Linked DNA regions of Struthio camelus. The protein of the gene in region 1 purifies or fractionates together with the protein of each later gene. This does not show direct contact. Links are inferred from orthologs where the notes say so. Each region holds a gene or a part of one and is shown on either strand. Other genes may lie near its edges.

Region 1 (9,501 bases):
TAAGTGTTTCACCCCGATTTTTTGAAATCTTACAGCTCCCTTTTCCAGACTGACTCCATAACCACCAGGGCCAGGCACTTTACTTCTTTAAAACCACCACGAAGCAACATGTTTTAGGCAAACACCAGATCTAAGCAACTGGGACTACAAGAAAACATCAGCTTTTGCAAGCCATGCAGTAAATCATAACAGGTGGCAACATTAAAGACAGATGACTTTTGCTGTCCATAACATAATGGAAAAAGTTCACAGGAGACCTCAGATAGCAGCACACGCTAACGCTCAAAAAAAAAAAAACAATTGCAAAACACTAAATAGACCTGTTCCATACTACAAGGATACATGAACTACATCAGTGTCAATTATATTTTGTGGGAAAGAAATCATCCTGGAGAGAGAGGCCAAATTAATCTTTATTAAAATGAGTCAGTATAGTTACACAAGGAATGAATTTGATCACTGATGTACTTAGGCATGGTGTATTAGCAGAGAGTCATAGCAGTAGTAGCAGCTGAGTTAGGGTGGGGAAGGAGGAGTTAGTTCAGTTTTTTTTAGAAAGCCCACTCGTTGAATAGAAAGACTCTCAGAGAGAAAGTGCACTCCACAAGGCAACCTTAACACTACCCCCGGGCACATGCGCTAATTACAGTGTGGTGTTTAATAAAAAGATAGCATCATTTTTCCCCGTAAAACAGATTTCACAATTCTGAGCAGTGAATCAGGTATTTCTGCTCGTATAGGTCAGAAACAAAGTCAGACCTTCGGTAGCTTCACTTCAGTCTGCACACATTAACATGGAGGTTGCAATAGTATTTCTCGAACAGAGATCTTCGGCTCTCCACAGCACCCGGCAACTTTGGAGATGGTATTTCAATATGGCAGGACATTCCCCAAGTAATTTTAACCTCCTTTTGTAATTCTGTCAAGTCAAAGGCCACTTTAGAAGACCTGAAGGATGTAGCTTGTGGTGAAGGGACCAGACCGCTCCCAGATACCAAGAATTTTTTTTAAGGATCAGAACTTTTTTGATACAATGGTAAATGTTAATATTTTATTTTCCTGCCTCTCCATTTCTTAAAATGGCCAAACCGCTTTTGTTCAGAGTCTCTGCAATTACTTGGAATTAGGCCAAGGGCTAATGCATAAAGTTCCATCTGGAAGTGGTAAAGTGTTGTTATAAAGAACTGAAAAAAATCCTTTGCTAGTAACCGTGCATAACTGTAACTATAATAAATATCACTAAGCACCCTAAGTTGAGGGGAAGCCCTCCACGCTGGGTGCCAGGGCCTGTCTGATCATGCCCTCCAGATCCCCACATCTCTGGGTCGGGCTTCTTGAGTTCAAGTTTGGAAACTCATGTCCAGGTTTCTCCCAGTAAATAGGGGAAGGAGGGTACCTAACAGGTAGAAACTGCATCTTCTGGATAGCTCTGCTGCAGTTTTGCTCGAGGAGAAGTTGCTGACAGCCTAATTTTCAGATTTATGGAGCATTAAGAGTTCTCATCGACTCTGTAACCAGGTGAGGAATCCGTCCATGCTTCATTTTCTTTGGCTAGAAAATGGGAGAAATGGCATTCCTGTCACTGGCTAGCTGGGAGGTTAAAGCTCTCTAAAGCCCTCTGGAGCAGCAATTCCCAAGCCAGGGGTGGCAGGTCATAGCAGCGTTTGCAGCACTGCTGAGTGGACTAACAGACCCAGTGGGAATTAGGTGGCAGCAACGGCCTCAGAAATGGAAGCGTACGGAAGCGTATGGAAGAGTAATTTCCATAATGAGTCACTGGCAATCAGGAGCCGAGCCTGGAGGGGACTGTCACTTCCCACAAACATCTGGCACACACACCCTTTGACGTGGAAAAAGTCGCCGTCCCCCTGGTGACCACATGCAGCATGTTCTCAATTATTTCTCTGGCTGGGCTAGCAGCAGGCATGAGCACTGCAACTGCCTGTTGTTGTAGGTGAATGGTAAATGGAGGTAAATGGAGATGTTGTCGTAAAAGTCACAGACTCAGGGTTTATAACAAGTAGGATTTATGTACCCAGAAGGGCAGAACCTATATTGTTCTTAAGGTTCCTTCAACTATAGACACTATCTGTCTATTCCTTCCTTTAGAGCTGGTGCATCCCTCCTCGCACAGGATAAGAACTAATACACCACTGTTCAGGCCATGGTCAGCAATCAGCTTTGGAGGCTGGAAAATAGAACCATGTAAGAGAAAAGTCTTCTAAAATGTAGAGGCTCTGCACAGATTTCCAAAACAGGAAAGTGCAGGAGAACGTCTCTGTCATATTGGAATTTACTTCAGCTAGGTCTGCAGAGTGAGTAATTACATCTGACCAGAGGTGGGAAATGTCTCTTTCACAAAAGCGATCACTAGACCTACGCTGGCTTGGTACAATACAATCAACTGGAGTTTCAGAGGTAGAGGAAAATCTTTATTATGGTGTTCCTGCAGACCGACACCTGCAGCCAGTCCCCCAAAGCCCCAAACAGTATCAGCCTACTGTGTGCCGGCACCCAAGAGCTATTATTGAATTCCTTGCATTACTCCCAGAGTATCGCTGACAGTATGCACGTCTATTAGAAATATCAGTTTCATTGTATAAAACAAACTCGCCACTAAAGGCTAGGGCTGGAGACAGTTTATCCCACAGTAACTGTCTATTTTGTTTTTTCTCTAAGTTTCAGGGCAGTGACTAACAGTTCTTGTTTACTGCCTGGGCAAGAGGTGCTTGCCTTGCTGTGATCCGCATGCCTTCAAAGGCACACAGGCCCAATGACTAGTTCTTGAGGAGGACATACGAGGGTAATATCCAGATTAAGTGAGGAAACACAAGCAATCCATTGAAGGCAGGTTTGAATCTGAACAGGAATCTAGGAAGAGTGTGCAATATAAGGGTGCGGATATCTCTGCACCGGGCCTCTCGTCACCGCACTAAACCCAGCACCATAGTTTTGCTTAAGTATGGGATCTCAACCATGAGGCAGCGTAAGCGTCCAGCATGCTGCTAACTGGAGGAAACAGCGAAAAACCTCTTACAGCTAATCTATAATATTTTCCTTTTGTATCTCTGCCTTTGAGCCTAATAACAGCGTTGTCAATATTTAGACGGTAGTAAATTAATTCTTAGTGCTCATGTTGTGCTAGCGGGGACTGGAAGATAACCGGCGCTCCACAGCGCTTGCTGTGGTGAACTTTAAAACCAGGAGACTTGCCATGCCCTTTATTCCAGCACAATGCACAGGTGTCGCCGAGAGGTAGCATATAATCTTCCCTTAGGATGCATAAATTGGTCTGGGAACTGGTACTGCAAGGTAACCCCAACAAAGAAACGTTTCGGATGCAGGAGCCAGAGGCTGTTCAGTATATATCAGGGCAGAGAAGAGAAGGTCTTAGCTTCAGGGGCCTCCGAAAGTCCACAGTGAACTCCTAAAAGCTCGAGTATTGGGGAACTGATCTTTTGGTGCTGTGTGCTGGGTTTCACACTCTCTACCAGCCGTGGGGGTGGAGATGTGGCTGTTGAGCCTAACTACACATGGGCAAAAGTGGGCATGATTTGGCCCCTCCATTTCTTTCATATTTATGTTGGATTTCCACTTCTGAATGTTTGATCTTTAAAGGCTTTTCTCTGCGTCATTTTTTTCTCCCTGGAGCTCAGAAAGTAACATGAAGTACCAAAGAATAGCTAGACTTTTCAAAGACCAGCCAATATTTCACTAAACATGAAGCATGTAGACGTGTTATTGCCTATACTACTACTACTGCTACTTTGTTCTTCCACTGGAAAATCTGACAGTCCTTTGCAGACACTCATCCACAAAGCTTTTCCTCCCTCTGGAAGACAAGGACACGGTGCTTTTCTTTCTCTTAGCAAAAGGAAATATGAGGCACACAGACATCAACAGTTGGGCTCAAAGAAAGGTATTTAGGCACTTCTCTTTAACTCCCACTGAAACCAGTGGGAACTGATGTGTTTTAATGACTTTATGGAGTTAGTCCTGTGACTTGCCAAGGTCAGGAGGATATTTATAGAAGGTAGCGGAACAGAATCTTTTGCTTTGAAAAAACACACCAAGAACTACAAACAGGAAACTTTCAATTGCAGCAGCACAGGTTTCAATTACAGAAGTGACTATAATGGCACGTTATCTTGTAGAGGTGAGGCTACTAATCTGAACGATAAGGAGAAGCTTCCTTAGAATTTCCTGGCTTGCACTGATTTATTCTGTACTAACATTCTGCAGACAGACTGTTTTGGTTTTGTTAGACTGTTTCTGGGTGTGTGGGGTTTTTTTTTGTTTGTGTGTTTGTTTTGCAACATTAGGGGTAAGTACACAGAAGCAAATACCTTAAACGTATTTAAACAAGCTTGGAAGGGCAGGTCAGTGACAAGCCCTCCAGGACTGTCCGTGTGCATCAACCCCTCCACATTCAATCCAAGTGCTGTGTTTTGCTGCGCCCTTTTTGGGAAAGCCAGGCGTTCCCGCTGCTTGCCAGAGACTTCTCCGGACCAGCAATGCCTACCTGCAGCCACCTTTTTCTCTCAGACCAGTTTTACCAGCTCTCCTGCTGGTTTTACGCCTGACTGCAGGTGCGCTCGGCCACCTGCGCTCCCAGGACTGCCGCAGCGCGGATCTCTCCGGGCGCTTCCCAGGACCTGGCCTTAGGATTACCCGTCCTCAGGGAAAACGCCCTAGACTTTCAGCAGCCACCTCGCACATCTCTGGGCAGGTGAAAAGCTGACAGCAGACAACAGGCTTGATGTAAAGCAGGCGGGATGCTTCTGGGGGAGAGAAATGAAAGGAGAAATCCGGTCTCTGCCCGCAGCTCTGCCTCCTCGCCCGCCGTCGGGCCAAGCCGAGAGGCGGCAGCGGCCTGTCACCGAGGCCCCTGCCTCAGGCCGGGCCCCGCCGAGGGCCCGGGGCTGGCGCCGACGCGGCCCTCAACCCCTGAAGGCAGCGGGGGGCGGGTAAAGGGAATTTGTTTCCTTTTATAATTCGTGAGCTCCCGTGTGGAGACGGTGCCGTCCGGCGGCGCCGAGCAGGCCCTCAGCACCGCCGCCGCCGCCGCCTCAGCGCCGGAGCAGGCCCCGCCCGGCGGCGGCGCCGCGCGCATGCGCGAGGCAGTGTTCGCCTGTCAATAAAGATTCAACAAGAGGCTAGCGGAGAGGGAGCACGCGCGGGCGTGGGGGCGGCGGCGGTTCCCTCCCCCCCCCCCCCCCCCCTTCTTTGAACGAACTTTATTGTTCCCGCGGCGCCGCGCGGGGATGCGCTGAGGGGGCCCCGCTCCGCCCGGCCTCGGCATGTCGGGCAGCCGCCCGCCGCCGCCGCCGCACCCCGCCGCCGCCGCGCCGCCCGCCGCCGCCGCCTCCCCGGCCGCCGCCTCCTCCTCCTCGGCCATGGCGCCGGGCTCGTCCTCCTCCTCGGCGGCGGCGGCGGGCGGCGCGGCGGCGCGGCCCGTGCTGGTGGCGGCCGCCGTGTCGGGCTCGGGCGCGGGGCTGGCGCGGCTGGCGGCGGCGGCGCGGCCCGGCGGCGGCGGCGCCTCCTCGGCGGGCGGCGGCGGCGGTGGTGGCGGCGCGGGCGGCGGCAGCAGGAAGAGGCCGCTCCTCGCCCCGCTCTGCAACGGGCTCCTCAACTCCTACGAGGACAAGAGCAACGACTTCGTGTGGTGAGCGCGGGGGAGGGGAGCGGGGCGGTGTATCGCGACATAGCGGCGACACGGCGCCCCCTTTCCCGCGGGCGTCGCGGCCTGCTGCGCGCGGCCGGGCCGCCCCGGGGCCGCCGCCGAGAGCGCTGGCCGGGTCTGGGGGGGCCCCGCGGGGGGGCCCTGCCCGGCTCGCCGGGGTGGAAGGTGTGTTGGGGTCTGTAACTGTCCTGCAGGGATTTCTGGCTCTCCCCCCTCCTCCCCCGCCTTGTGACTGTGTTTGGTTGCTTTTTTGGCTCTTTGTATCAGTGTTGTGATGCGTGTGTGTCTTTGTTTTTTTTTTTGTTTTTTTAAAAAACAAAAACAAACAAAAATTCAGGTTAGTCCCAGAAGGTTCCTGTCTCGTTCGGCGGGTTAAGCCTCAGCGCAGCGGAACTTGCGCTCGTTGGAAAGGGCCTGCGACGCTAAGCGGTTTTTCATAGCCTGTTGACATCGCAAGCAAATGTTTCTTTTTTCCTTTTTTTTTTTTTTTTTCTCCCAGGCAGTGTAGCCTTGAAAAGGACTAGAGCAGCTCCAGCCTCTTGCACGTGCGATGGCCTCTCTGGAGGGAGGCTAGGTCTTCTTACTGCCCCTTTATGACCTTATGAAAAGAAAGAGTCCTCAGAGGACTTCTGTGCTTATGCAGATGAGGATCTGAAAATAAGTCCCCTGGTCACTGATATTGGAGGCAGTTAATAGTGCTCACAAAATTGGCATGAGTTTTTCCTCTGTTGCTGGGAAAGGACAGCTAACTTGAAGTAATAATAGTATTTGTATCAGGTATCGATCTGTCATCTAAAACCAGATGAGTAGAAACTTTCTGCGATGATGGGATAAAGATTTTCCTTGAAGCCATTCAGATGCTGTTTTTCTAATGTTTGGCCAAAACTGTATGTTGTAATTGGTAATAACTTTTCTGCAAAAGTGGTAGGCCTCGCTATATTTGGTTTGAGAGCTGTTGGTAATATGCAGCTTTAAAAAGATGCTATTGCTTATGGGCTTCAAACCTCCTGACATAAGGAGTAAGTTTAATTTTATATATGACTAGATGTATATTAAAAACGCAAGAACAGAAAATGAGGGTAGGTGGTAGCATCTGAGAGAGATAAACACTGATGAAGAGATATTAGAAACAAACTTGTTTTATTGAAAAGTCACATATGTGAAAGAAATGATTAAAAAGAAAAGTGGATAAAAGTAGGTAACAGCTTCCAAGACCGTCTTGTTTGCTCATTCTAACTTTTGGATGCAGATTAGGTATTCGGCATCTCCACAGGAGAGGCACTCTAGCAAAACCTGGCAAACTTGATCTTGCAAACCTTGTAAACCCTATAGGAGACTAGATGGGAAATATAATCCCTGTTACTAGAAGGAGAACCTGAAGCTGCTGAAAAGCTAGTCACCGAAAGAAGAGCAACAAGCAATAATCAAGAATTCCTCCTTACCACTGTAAGTAGTGGTTTGCCCAGTAGCAGAATTAGGATTAGAGTGTAGCCTTAGTCGGCTGGCTTCCTGCTCTGCCTAAATGCTAGGCCATGATAAGTGGATTTAGGACACCTAGTTTGGGAGATGGTTGTATTGTTGTTTCTTGCATGTTTTCTGGTCGTGGGAGATAAGTGTCCCTATCTGTTTGCCTCCACTACAGTTATGCTCTGGCAGTAGTGGTGTGCAATCATTTCCTTTCCTCTTCTAGTCGGTTTTCACTTAATGTTTTCTTGCTCATAGAAATAAGGGAGTTTGAACCAGGGGGAAATTAAGTCTAGCGCAATAAGTTCTTTTCTTTTTTTTTTTTTTTGATGACAGTTGAAATGTTTTAAGTCAGTTCAAAAAGCTCAGTTTCTTAGTTCTTTTTTTCCCCACAGGTAGGTTCTGTGCAAACTTCAAAAATAACGCATATAATTAGCTCTATTCCTCTCGGTGAAGAGTGTTGCTGGCTGAACAAAGCGTGAGAAGAAAAAGTTAACAGAATAGTGATCTGGGCAAAACTTTTTTTTTTCTTTCCCCTCTCTTCTTTTTTCCTGTCTCCTCCTTACTGGTGTTCACAAGAGAACCGTGCTGGGCATATTTGCGTGCAGATCAGCAGCTTCAAGGGCAAATAGTGATTATAGCTCCCTTGTCTGGTCCTTCATTGGCATGCACTTCATTGGGCAGTGTAGCTTCTTCTTCCTTATGTTAATGTTAGCTTCAAATTACAGCATTACTTTTAACAAAAGTTATTTTTGAGGTAGCATTATATTTATGCAGTATAGAAATAAAACTCAGCTGGGTAGCTTTGGAATTTTGAGCAAGGTCCAAGAAGACAGGTGTGTGTTTGTTTAAATACTTGATTTAAATAAGCTTTGGATATTTCAGTCTGAGAGGCAAAATTTTCCCGTCTGCCATCCTCTCTATAAGGATACTTTCTGGACGCTGCCTGCTGCAGGGAGCACTCGATAATCTTTCTGAACACAGGCTATGAATTACTCTTTAGTGTTGCAACTGTAAACACTGTGATAGGTTCTGCCTGCATCAGACTGAAATTGGGAAAGAATAAAGAAGTTCGTGTGAGTTGTGTACACGAAAGCGCATGTGGAAATACTGCAAGTAGTGTTAATGTGCACAACCTGTCTGCCTGTTTCTTGAAACTGCTCTCTCAGCAGTGTGAGGTCTAGGCTTTGACACTAATGTTGGCATACGCTGCTAGTCTGGACTGTGAATTGTTTAGCAAATACTGTGCTCTCTGGAGTTCTCAAAGGTGTACCTTTTGTAGTATATTCCAGCTTCTGCCTGGAAGTGCATAACTCTAGACCAGAGAAGCACATATATCTGACTTGCTAGACCCTTTATTGTAACAGGGGAAACTTTGTTTTCATAGGTCTAGGATGTAGAATTGAAACAGATTTTTGTCCCGCTCCTATAGTGAGGTCTCTTTCCAGTTGCCTGGAGAGTATCTGGAGTGGAATGCTCTGATCGGAGCGTTTTCTCCTATCCAGCATGTAATTGGCTACGTTTTTTCCAGACCTTACATTAGTCAACTGCTAATTGGGAGGGTTAAACCTCTCTAAAACCAGTTAGGATCTGCCTAGCTTCCTGGACAGAGAGTGTCTTCTGGGAGCTATAGGCTCCTTTCAGTGACTGTTTTATACCAGTGCTTGTTTCTCAGTTCTGGCGTAAATAAGAACACGGCAAAGTAGACATTGCTTGGTGTACCTCTCAAGGTCTGTATACAGACCTTGAATGTTGAAAGCACTGTTTTCCATGCCTAGAAGTGACTAAAAGTCTGCATTACAGCACCATATCAAAAATAGGTCTACCTGTTGATACTAATGCCGAGCATGGACTGAGTAGAATTTTTCACATGCTTGTGTTCTTGTGAGTTCCTCTAATACTGCAGTTTGACCCGGGAGGTCACAAAGTAAAAACGCAGCAGGCTGTTTACATAACATGTACAATGATGGAATTTTATAATTTCTATTATTATATTGGAGCTTCTTATTGAGTAGATAGGGATGGCAGTGTCCTTTAACCTGGGCATGTTCTGAGTAAAGTACAGAGCCTGTATCCTGCTCTCTTCCTGCTCTCTTCTTAGGCCAAAGAAGAACAGAACAGAAGGGAGAAGCTGATGGGTCTTGCTTGCAGTGAAACAGAAGGGAATGTGAAACATGTTTAAAGTTTATCCTGAACATTTAAGCCATGTTCAGGTAGCAAGGGGGTGACAGTAAGGTAAAAATCTTGAGAATGACACCTTGAAAACGGCTGATAAGACTAAGAGGCGTGAACTTGGTTAGAATGATTAAGAAACACTTGACCTACCCTGATACGCTCAACCATGGAGAAACAGA
Region 2 (9,831 bases), on another chromosome or scaffold:
GTTCCATTATGGGCGATCGTGTCAGTGATCTGTGAATCACTGGAAAGGGCTTTTTTTTTTTTTTAATGTACTTTTCAATCCATGCCTCGGGATTCCAGGGTTTGTTGAGGTGCACTGAGGAGAGAAGCATCCTTGAAGTACCCCAGGCTGTGTGTCATGCGTTTCCATTGAAATTGTAAGAGCTTCTTTGGGAATCGTTGTGATTTCAATGGAGGGGCCAGAATAATTCCATCAAAACTGCGCTATGTCCAAAAGGACTTCATTTGATTTGGGTGACACTTGTGATCTCAGGGACAGATACTTTCTTACACCGTGTTTTTCTTAAAACAATACAAAGAGGGTGAAGGGGGAGAGGGAAATAAAATAGCAACCTAAACTTCAGCAAAAGACAATGGGTTTATCTTTAAGATATCTCCTTCCAGGCATTAAGACTTCCTGAAAATGTCTCAAACTCTATCTTCTCCAAGCCTGAGAGAGTTAAGGAGACTTATTCAGGAATTGGAAACCTTCATTTCTGAGGTTTTTTGCCTTTGTGGGTTTAAGCAAAGCAGTTAGCGTTCTTCAGGAGGGGTTTTGTGTTTAATATACATGAGTTCATTCAACTACAATGGCAAAAGAAAACTCATTTGTTCTTATAAAACTAGGAAGGAAAGATAACTTTAGACTGCCAAAAAAGATCCTGTTCAAGGGGGCTGCGTTCCTGGAAAAGGGCCTGCAATTCAACTGTAATTTCACCCTGTTATATTGTGCAGTAATTTCTGAGTTTATCCTCAGCACTGGTGCTTGATTTTCTGTTTTATTTTGGGGGTCATGTAGCAAAAAAAAAAGGGGGGGATGAGGGGGAGGACTTTAGTTATACTCTCCTCTGGGAAGAAAGTCCAGGGAGTGTTATTTTAGATGCATAGAAAAAAAATCGCAGGGAGTTTGAGAAGGCTGTTGGCTATTTATGACGAGTCCTGGAAGAGTGTTTGGACAATCGGCTTCTCCATTTATTGAGAAGCCCTTTGAAAGCGACTTTGAGAGGTGGTGTGTGTGAGCCGGCTTTGCTGCTGTTTATTGTGTACGTTAAACACGTCTGAGGAGGTTTCTCTATTTTTTATTTTTATTTTTTTAATTTTGCCTCTGGTAGCACTGCAGAAAGGTGGACACGGATTTTTTTTTTTAACCTCCCCGCGTTTTTTTTTTTTTTAACGCCATAAAAATCAACAGCTGAGCGCTGGTTCGCGGGCCGGTAGCCGGGAGGGGAGGTGGCAAGCGGGCCGCTCGGAGGGCGCGGAGCTGCCGCTTCCCCCGGGGGCCCGGGGCGGCCCGGCCGCGGCGCGGGGGAGCCGCGGGGCGACGGCCCCGGCCGTGCGCTCGCCGCCCGGCCGCACGTGCGCTCGCCCTTAGGTTTCATTAGGGAGAATTAGGATGAAAGAGGAGCCCGGGGAGGAATGCCGAGCTGCCTCGGCATTCCCCAGCTTTCAAGGGTCCTTAGAGCCCTTGAATGAAATTATTGGGTGAAATTGGGTCTGGCTGGAGCATTTGTTACTCGCCCCCCTCGGTCGTTTGTACATATAATGCCACTTCTGAGAATGACAATCGGGCTACTTGCTGGACAGGCAGGGACAAAAAGCAGATTAAACCGTTTTAAATAATAATAAAAAATATCCAAAATGTAAGCAGAGTGGATTACACTTGCTCCAGCGCCTCGGTTCCCCCCAATTCCCCTAAGAGTCACCCTCGCCCTCGGGCCTCTCGGAGAGGAGGCCCTCGGCGCCGGGGGGGGGGAATCGGGGAGCTGAGACAGCCCCACTGCGGAGCGGGTGCGGAGCAGTGTGCGCAGCACCGCCGCCGCGCTAGATGCGGCCTCTGCCAACTGTTGAAGTTTGCCTGAGCCCGTTTCAGCGCCCCGCGGTCGCTGCCGGGCCCCGACGGACGCTCCCGCGGACGGGCGGTGTTTGCTCGGCTGCGGGAATCCCGCGCTTTCCGCGCCTGGTGGCGGCCGGGGCCGCAGGGCCCTTCCTGCGAGCCACCCGGCCCCGGCCCCTTCGGTGGGTTTATACCCACTCGCCGTGGGTGTTTCTTAGAGCGTTCAAGGGCATTTCTGCCCACCTTTCCCTCTGGATGCTACCGCAGATTCACCAGGTGATATTTGAAATTCCCCAGAGACAGGGGTATGGCTAGCGTGGTGAAACTTCCTTGGCTAACTTTAGCTCCTGTGTGATGAGCTGGTACAGAATTAGAGGGGGAAGAGGAAATTTCTCTGTACATTTTCGTCTTCAGATTTTTTTTTTAATGTAATGAAATTAAAACTTTTGGAGCTCACAGCTGACATTTTGCAGAAAATTGAGTTATCAAGGCAGTAATTATTTCACAGGGAGATAAAACTCTCATAGCCCTAACTGTCAAATAGGGCCCTTTTCAGATTTTAATTACAAAATAAAATTAGTCTGCTCTTCCTCGGAAGGGTTTGTGAGTGGCTAAACAGAGCTTTCCCCAATACTGGTGGTCGTCAAACTCTGCTAATTAGCAATGCTGAGAAATTCCAGTTAACAAGGACATTCTCTAAGTCTCTGCAGGTTCCCTGCCGTTCGCCTTCATTTCCATAAGAAGATTAAGAGTGGAGGGGAACACACTCAAATGCAGATGCAGAAAAGAAGCGTTTTTAACAAGCATCATAATAGTAAGATGCTTGGCTAGTTCTCACCTAATTACTGCAAGTTAAACCTCTATTTGCAGCTAAGGACAAAAAATGGAGCTGCAATCTTCCATCTCCACAAGACTGCTTAATAGTTTGCTTTAGATGGGTTACTGGTAGGTTCAGGAAAAAGAATATGAAAATGGGTATATTCTTTCTGATACAGTTAACACGATAGGTTGTATCCTCAGGGTTTTTAAAGAAAGCAGCGAGTATCAGAACAATAAAAACATAAAATTCAAGTAGCTAGCATTCATCTTCTTTTTCAGAAACTCATAACCTGGAAATAAAAGTGAATGTGCCGTAGAGCCCACCATTGAGAACATTTGCAGACTATTTGTTTAAGCACTTTTCATTTCCATAAATTATACCAAAGGCAAAGATTTTTTAAATCCACCCAGATTAAACCATCCCTCTGCAGGCCTCCCTTTCAACGTGTCTATATTCTTCCAGAGAGTGGTGGTGGTATTGTTATTAATACAGAAAAATGAGGTACCGTTTCCTCCTTTTATTTTATAGTCAGCATCCCAATCTGTCTATACTTCTGTGTGTCTGTGTACACATATGCAGCCAAACACCTATATAAGCAGAGGAAAGGGAGAAAATGTTCTAAAAGAGGTCTCGCCCTTATCTTATTTTCTATAGCGCGTTATTATGTATATATGACAGACAGAGTTTATTGCGTCGATAAGTAAAAGAGTTAATTAAAATAAAGCTGTAAATACTCCCGATAACACAATTGTTGGGTATTTCCACCCCTTATTTGTGTGATAAATACAGTTAAGGAAGGGCTGGGCCGGGCCGGGCCAGGCCCCGGAGCCGCTCCAGCACACGCAGCCCGGCCCGGCCCGGCCCGGCCCGGCCCGCCGCAGCTACCGCGCGAGCGAAAAGAAGACTTGCTTGTGCACCACCAGCCCTCAGTTATCAATTCAGTACGAAAAACAAACACCACTGCCACCCACCCCACCCCCTTTTTTCAAACTTAATTATCCCTGAGATTTTTTTGGAATAACGTTATCAACTGCAGACCCAAGCGTAAACAATAAGAAAGTAAATAGCCGTTGTGCCCTCAGGAGGGTCTGGACAATCAGAACCCGTTTATTTCCTGGATCTCATAATTTCTACCTATTTTTCCATGGTTACCCTGTCACTTATCTAGGGGTTCTATATACATTTTCGAATTAGACACATTAAATCCGATCGGATTTATTTGCATAACCCACAAAAAGATGCATCCGTGCTGCTGGCGTATTCTTATATGTATGTACGTATATAGTGCTATTATTTAGATGGCATGTCATTACCGGCTCCTTCCCCCCCCCTTTCCCTTCCCGCTCTCACGCCGCTTTCCCGCGGCACCTCCCGGCGGGGCGCGGGCGCAGCCAGCAGGGGGCGCCGCCGCGCCGCGCCTGAGCGCCGCGCGGGGCCGCGGACGGGGCCGCGGACGGGGCCGGGGCCGCGGCGCTGCCCCACGGCGCTGCCCCTTCCCCCGCCGGGTTCCGCGGGCTCTGCCGCCTCCGCGGAAAATCACCCTGCCCGCGGATCCCCCGCGGCCTAAAGATGTGAGGGGTGCTCGGATTTGGGGCAAAAAAGCCGGAGCGGGGGTGGGGTGGCGGGGAGGGGAGGGGAAGGCCCGTCGGTGGGGCAGGCGCGGAGCGGGGCCCGCGGCTGCTCGCCGCCGCGCTGGGGCGGGCGCGGGGCCGCGGGCGGCGGGGCCGGCGTGAGGCTCCCCCCTCTCCCGCTCTTCTTCCTCCTTTCCCCTCCTTTCTTTGTCGTCAAGTGCGTTTTAGCAACAAAGATCCCAACAAGAGAGTGGAAGTAAACTTAGCCGCCGCTTTGTTTGGCCCCGTGTAGTGACAACAAGGGAAACAAAACTACCTATTTGTAACGGCCTCGCCGCGGCTCTGCCCCCCCCCCCGCCCGGCCGGCCGCTGCGCCCCGGCGGAGCTGCGCTCGCCACCACGGGCGCGGGGTAACGCTGCGCCGCGGCCCGGCCCGGCCCGGGGCTCCCCGCCGCCGCCAGCCCCGCCGAGGGGTGCCCCCCCCTCCCTTGGCTTCCGTGGGCACGGCGTTTGGGGCACCCCCTCCCCTGCCGCGGCTGCACCGGGCACCTTCCCTCCCCCCCCCCCGGCGTTTCCCGAAGCCGGAGGAGGGAGGGAAGGGCTCGGCGCTGTGTGCCAAGGTTTGAACGGAGCCGGGCTCGGGGCAAGGGAAGCGGGAAGGGCGCAGGTTGTGCCCGGGCTGCCCGGCCGGGGGGCTGCGCTTTTGGGGGTGAGGGGGGATGAGGGGTCAGCGCGGGCGGAGCCGGCCGCGGCGAGCGCTGCACACGCAGGTCGCCGCCGCCCGCGGGCCCAGCGCAGCCGGGCGGCCCCGCCGCGCCGAGGGGCGCCGGCCCAGGGGGGACGGGGGCGGGGGGAAGCCATCGCCGCTCTGCTCCCTCCATGGCTTCCCCCAGCCCCAAGCCAACACCAACTTATAAAAAAAAAATGTAGCAACAATGCTGTTTACCCACTTCCTCCAAAAGGCGTGTGTGACCTGTTGCTGGAAGGGGAGATACAAAGGCTTCCCAGTGGCTGCCTGGGCCGCCTCTGGGCCCGCCCCCCCCCGCCGCGCCGTCCCGGCGGCGCCGAGCCCCCGCCCCGTTTCATGCAAAACCAGGGGTAGAGACTTGTCCTCAGTGGAGGAGCCGCCGCGCGCTGATTGGCCAGGGCGAACACATTTATTCCCTGACAAGCCCCCATCACATGGATGGTTGTCTATTAACTTGTTCAAAAAAGTATCAGGAGTTGTCAAGGCAGAGAGAGAGAGTGTGTGTGTTTGCAAAAGGGGGTAAAGTAGTTTGCTGGCTCTTTAAGACTGAGGTGGAGAGAGAGAGAGAGAGAGAGAGAGAGAGAGAAAGAGGCAGACAGAGAAAAGGGAAAAAGGAGGAAGAAGTTTTTTAAAATCGAGGCTCCGGCAGTAATAATAGCAGTTATTAGCATTATTAATCCATCAGCGAAGAGGAAGATTCTGATCTTGATCCAAGTGTGGTTTTGGGGAGTCCCCCTCCCCCCTTTCCTACCCCTCCCTAGGAAAAAAAAAAAGTCCGGCTTGGGACTTTGCTGCCGCTGCTCCTCGCTTCTCTGCTCAAGGCTGGTTCCAGGCAAAAGTAGTTTGAATGTACAACATGATGGAAACCGAGCTGAAACCTCCCGCCCCCCAGCAAACTTCGGGGGGAGGCACAGGCAACTCCAACTCGGCCGCCAACAACCAGAAGAACAGCCCGGACCGGGTCAAGCGGCCCATGAACGCGTTCATGGTGTGGTCCCGCGGGCAGCGGCGGAAAATGGCCCAGGAGAACCCGAAGATGCACAACTCCGAGATCAGCAAACGGCTCGGGGCCGAGTGGAAACTTTTATCCGAGGCGGAAAAGAGACCCTTCATTGACGAAGCCAAGCGGCTCAGAGCTCTGCACATGAAGGAGCACCCGGATTATAAATACCGACCCCGGAGGAAAACCAAGACCCTCATGAAGAAGGATAAGTACACGTTGCCAGGGGGCTTACTGGCGCCGGGCACCAATACCATGACGACTGGGGTAGGGGTTGGGGCCACCTTGGGAGCTGGGGTGAACCAGCGGATGGACAGTTACGCGCACATGAACGGCTGGACCAACGGAGGCTATGGGATGATGCAAGAGCAGCTCGGCTACCCGCAGCACCCGGGCTTGAACGCGCACAACGCGGCGCAGATGCAGCCCATGCACCGCTACGACGTGAGCGCCCTGCAGTACAACTCCATGACCAGCTCGCAGACCTACATGAACGGCTCGCCCACCTACAGCATGTCCTACTCGCAGCAAGGCACCCCGGGCATGGCCCTGGGCTCCATGGGCTCGGTGGTCAAGACGGAATCCAGCTCCAGTCCCCCCGTAGTCACTTCCTCGTCTCATTCAAGGGCTCCTTGCCAAGCGGGGGACCTCCGGGACATGATCAGCATGTATCTACCAGGTGCTGAAGTACCAGAACCAGCTGCCCCAAGCAGACTTCATATGTCCCAACACTACCAGAGTGCACCTGTTCCTGGCACAGCCATTAATGGCACACTCCCTCTATCGCATATGTAAGACAAAGGGGCCGGGGGTGGGGGAAAGGAAAACTAAACAAAACAAACAAACAAAAAACTTTTATTAGAAATTCTGGACTTTTTTTTTTTTTGGACTATTTTTGTACAGAGAAAACTGGGGGCGGGGAGGGGGGGGAGAAATAAAACCGACGAGGAACTTGTATAGATCTTGGAGGGGAAGCAACTACACAAAACTTTTAAAAAGTTCTAGTGAAAACGGTAGGAACTTTGCAGAAAGTTTGCAAAAGTCTTTACCAATAATATTTAGAGCTAGACTCAAAGAGCGAAGAGGAAAATGTTTTAATATTTGCAGGCAACTTTTGTACAGTATTTATCAAAGTAAACATGGCAATCAGAATGTCCATTGGTAATATAGAGAGGGAAAAAAAACAACTCGAGAATTTGCCAATTATTTTTTAAAAATAGAGTCTACTTGGAGCATTGTGACTTTGGCAGCTGAATTTATAGCAGCTGCGAGAGGAGAGGAAATTATTTTACAGCATTTGGACATTTAAATTGTTTTAGAAATTGTACAAAAGGCAAAAAGGTAGGACGAGTACTTGCGAACCATGGGCTTGGTTTGCTATAAAAGGGCAAACGTTTAGCTTGTACTAAATTTTTTTTTTTTTACTTCTTGTTAAAAAGCAAAAATTGCCATGCAGGTTCACACGCCGTTTGTTAATTTATAATAACTTTTTGTTTCCAGACTTCATCCTGTTCAGAGAAAAGAAAAAGAAAAAAAAACCAACCTGAAATTACTGTGTTTGAAATATTTTCTTATGGTTTGTAATATTTCTGTAAATTTATTGTGATGATATTTTAAGTTCTTTTTTTTCTCATTTTCCGTAGTTGTATTTTAAAGATTCGGCTCTGTATTATTTGAAATCAGTCTGCCGACAGTCCATGTATATATTTGAACTAATACCATCCTTATAACAGGTACATATTCAAGTTAAGTTTTTACTCCATTATGCACAGTTTGAGATAAATAAATTTTTGACATATGGACACTGAAGTTACGCTTGAGTCTTGGATTTATTTTTGTAATGCAAGATTTTTTTTTTTAATAATTCATGCAGTAGAAAGTGGTATCGTTGTGAGCAGCTGAGTATTGTAAATAATACAGCAATATATATATTACACATGCATATATTTTTTATAGCTATATATAAAGTACAGTAGCTTTAAGTAGGTAACTGAAGGTGACTGCTTTGCAGGGACGGGAATGTGGAGTAACACGGTCTGTTCCAGATTCCCTTCCCCTTCGCAAGGAGGGCGCGGAGCGCGATGGGGTGAAAGGACGTTTCGGACTCGCCGTTTGGGACCACTTGTTGCCTCGGCGGGGCCGCGGCCGAGCCGGAGGGCTGCGCGGAGCCGAGCCGCGGCAGGAGGCGGCGGCGGCGCGGTGAGAGGGCCCAGGCGCCCCGTTTACGGGTCTCGAGCATTGATAATTTCTCTCGTTTCCCCCCCGGTGCTTTCTGCCGTGGGGCAGGCAGGAGGCAGTGGCTGGGGGCCGTTCCGCGGCGCTGGCGGGGTGGGAGCTCGCCCCTTTGTTCGGGGCTCCCAAACTTTCTGCTGCCGCTTTGGGGCAGCGCAGGAGGAGGTGAGCGGTGGGGCGGGGGTGGGGGGGAGCTCGGCCGGGTGGAGGTGAGCAACAGCAAAAAGCGAACAAACAAAACGAAATTAGAAGAAAAAGAAAAGTCGAATGTCGGAGACCTTCACGCTTTATCATAGCTCTCTCTTGAATCCTATTTCTTAACTTGCCAGCGCGGTGTAGCCCCAATTTGGACAGTCTCTGCAGCCGGTCACAGCCCCAAAGAGAAGCGGTGGCGCCCGCCAAATGGGAGGAGAGCTCCGCCAGCTCGGTCAGGTAGAGTTTCACTTTGTACCCTTGTAAGGGCCAGAGCCGGGGCGGAAGCTGCGCGGCCCTGCGCGGAGCCGCCGCCGGGAGGGCCCAGCGGAGCGCGGCGCGGGGGGCGGCGGAGCGGTGCGGAGCGGAGGCCCGTTTCCCCCCTGCAGCCCGGCTGCTGACAGGGCTGGGGTTTCTTTGGGGTAACGTGGGTAAGCGAGAGGCAAGTGGTGATAGTAATAAGACAGTGAAATTGGGGGCAGCGCGGTGGAAGCCGTGCCCTGGCTGGGCCGGTCTGTGGTGCGCGGTGCGTAGCGCGGAGAGGAGCTGAGGGTTTGCTCGAGCGAGGCACAGAGCGGGTTTCCGCACCGGGAGCAAGTGTTGCTCCGTTTTCCTTTCTAGTATTTTTGTTTCGGTAACTGAATTGCACTTTAACTCAGGAAGGAAGGAAGTGAGAAAGTGAAAAAATCACACACACACACACACACACACATACAAAGTTACCTGGTTGGTCGTGGCTTTTTTTTGGTAGTGCTATTTCCTAGGTTCGCTTCTGGCCTCCAGGCTTGGTGCCTGGTGTCCAGATGAAAACTAAAATTGCCAGACTACGAGTATGTGGAGTTTTGCTCTCTGTCGGTTTATGTAGTTTAGCTCCCTTTGTCCCTTTTATTTCTGTGCCGTCGAGGGACTTGGGCAGCATCACAGTTATTGCAGATTCCCAACATTTTCTTCTTCTCTTTTTCATTAATGCAAAGAGTAAAGTATTTTTTTCAGAGCCGTGCAGCGTTTGTAACGCGTCTAGGGATTATTCACGTGGTAAGGAGCACATATCCCCGCTCCCACTTGCCTAGCTGGAAAAAAAGAGAACTTGGAATAAAAGCCCAATCGATATTGCGATTCCATTTTTTAAAGCGAATCTTAGCCAATTAACAGCAATAAAACCTGGGCCCTTTTTGAAGTGCTAACTAAAATATTCGAGGGGGGTAGCTGGTCCTTTAACAATTCTCATATAGAAGGCGAGATAGTACGATTAAACAAAAGGCACTAAGCCACACATTCAGGCTTAGTGATTTCAGTAACTTTTTATATTGGCAATTTGTTTAAGCTTAGATTGCGGAGTATGATGTAAAATACATGTTGTTGAAACTTGATCTCCCTTGGACAGATTCCTTACATCCACCCATCCATCCATCCATGT

Evidence for each region.
Region 2: the proteins of COP1 (region 1) and SOX2 purify together in Homo sapiens (affinity purification with western blotting; 3 studies listed by BioGRID). This does not show direct contact. The link is inferred for Struthio camelus from reciprocal best matches to the Homo sapiens genes COP1 and SOX2.

The regions. Positions count from the first base shown.
Region 1 is NC_090949.1:5,434,463-5,443,963, reverse strand, and holds the start of COP1 (E3 ubiquitin-protein ligase COP1), read left to right. Parts: upstream 1-5,300; coding exon 5,301-5,665; intron 5,666-9,501. UniProt on the Homo sapiens protein: E3 ubiquitin-protein ligase that mediates ubiquitination and subsequent proteasomal degradation of target proteins.
Region 2 is NC_090950.1:23,947,647-23,957,477, reverse strand, and holds SOX2 (transcription factor SOX-2), read left to right. Parts: upstream 1-5,391; 5' UTR 5,392-5,837; coding exon 5,838-6,785; 3' UTR 6,786-7,799; downstream 7,800-9,831. UniProt on the Homo sapiens protein: Transcription factor that forms a trimeric complex with OCT4 on DNA and controls the expression of a number of genes involved in embryonic development such as YES1, FGF4, UTF1 and ZFP206. Binds to the proximal enhancer region of NANOG.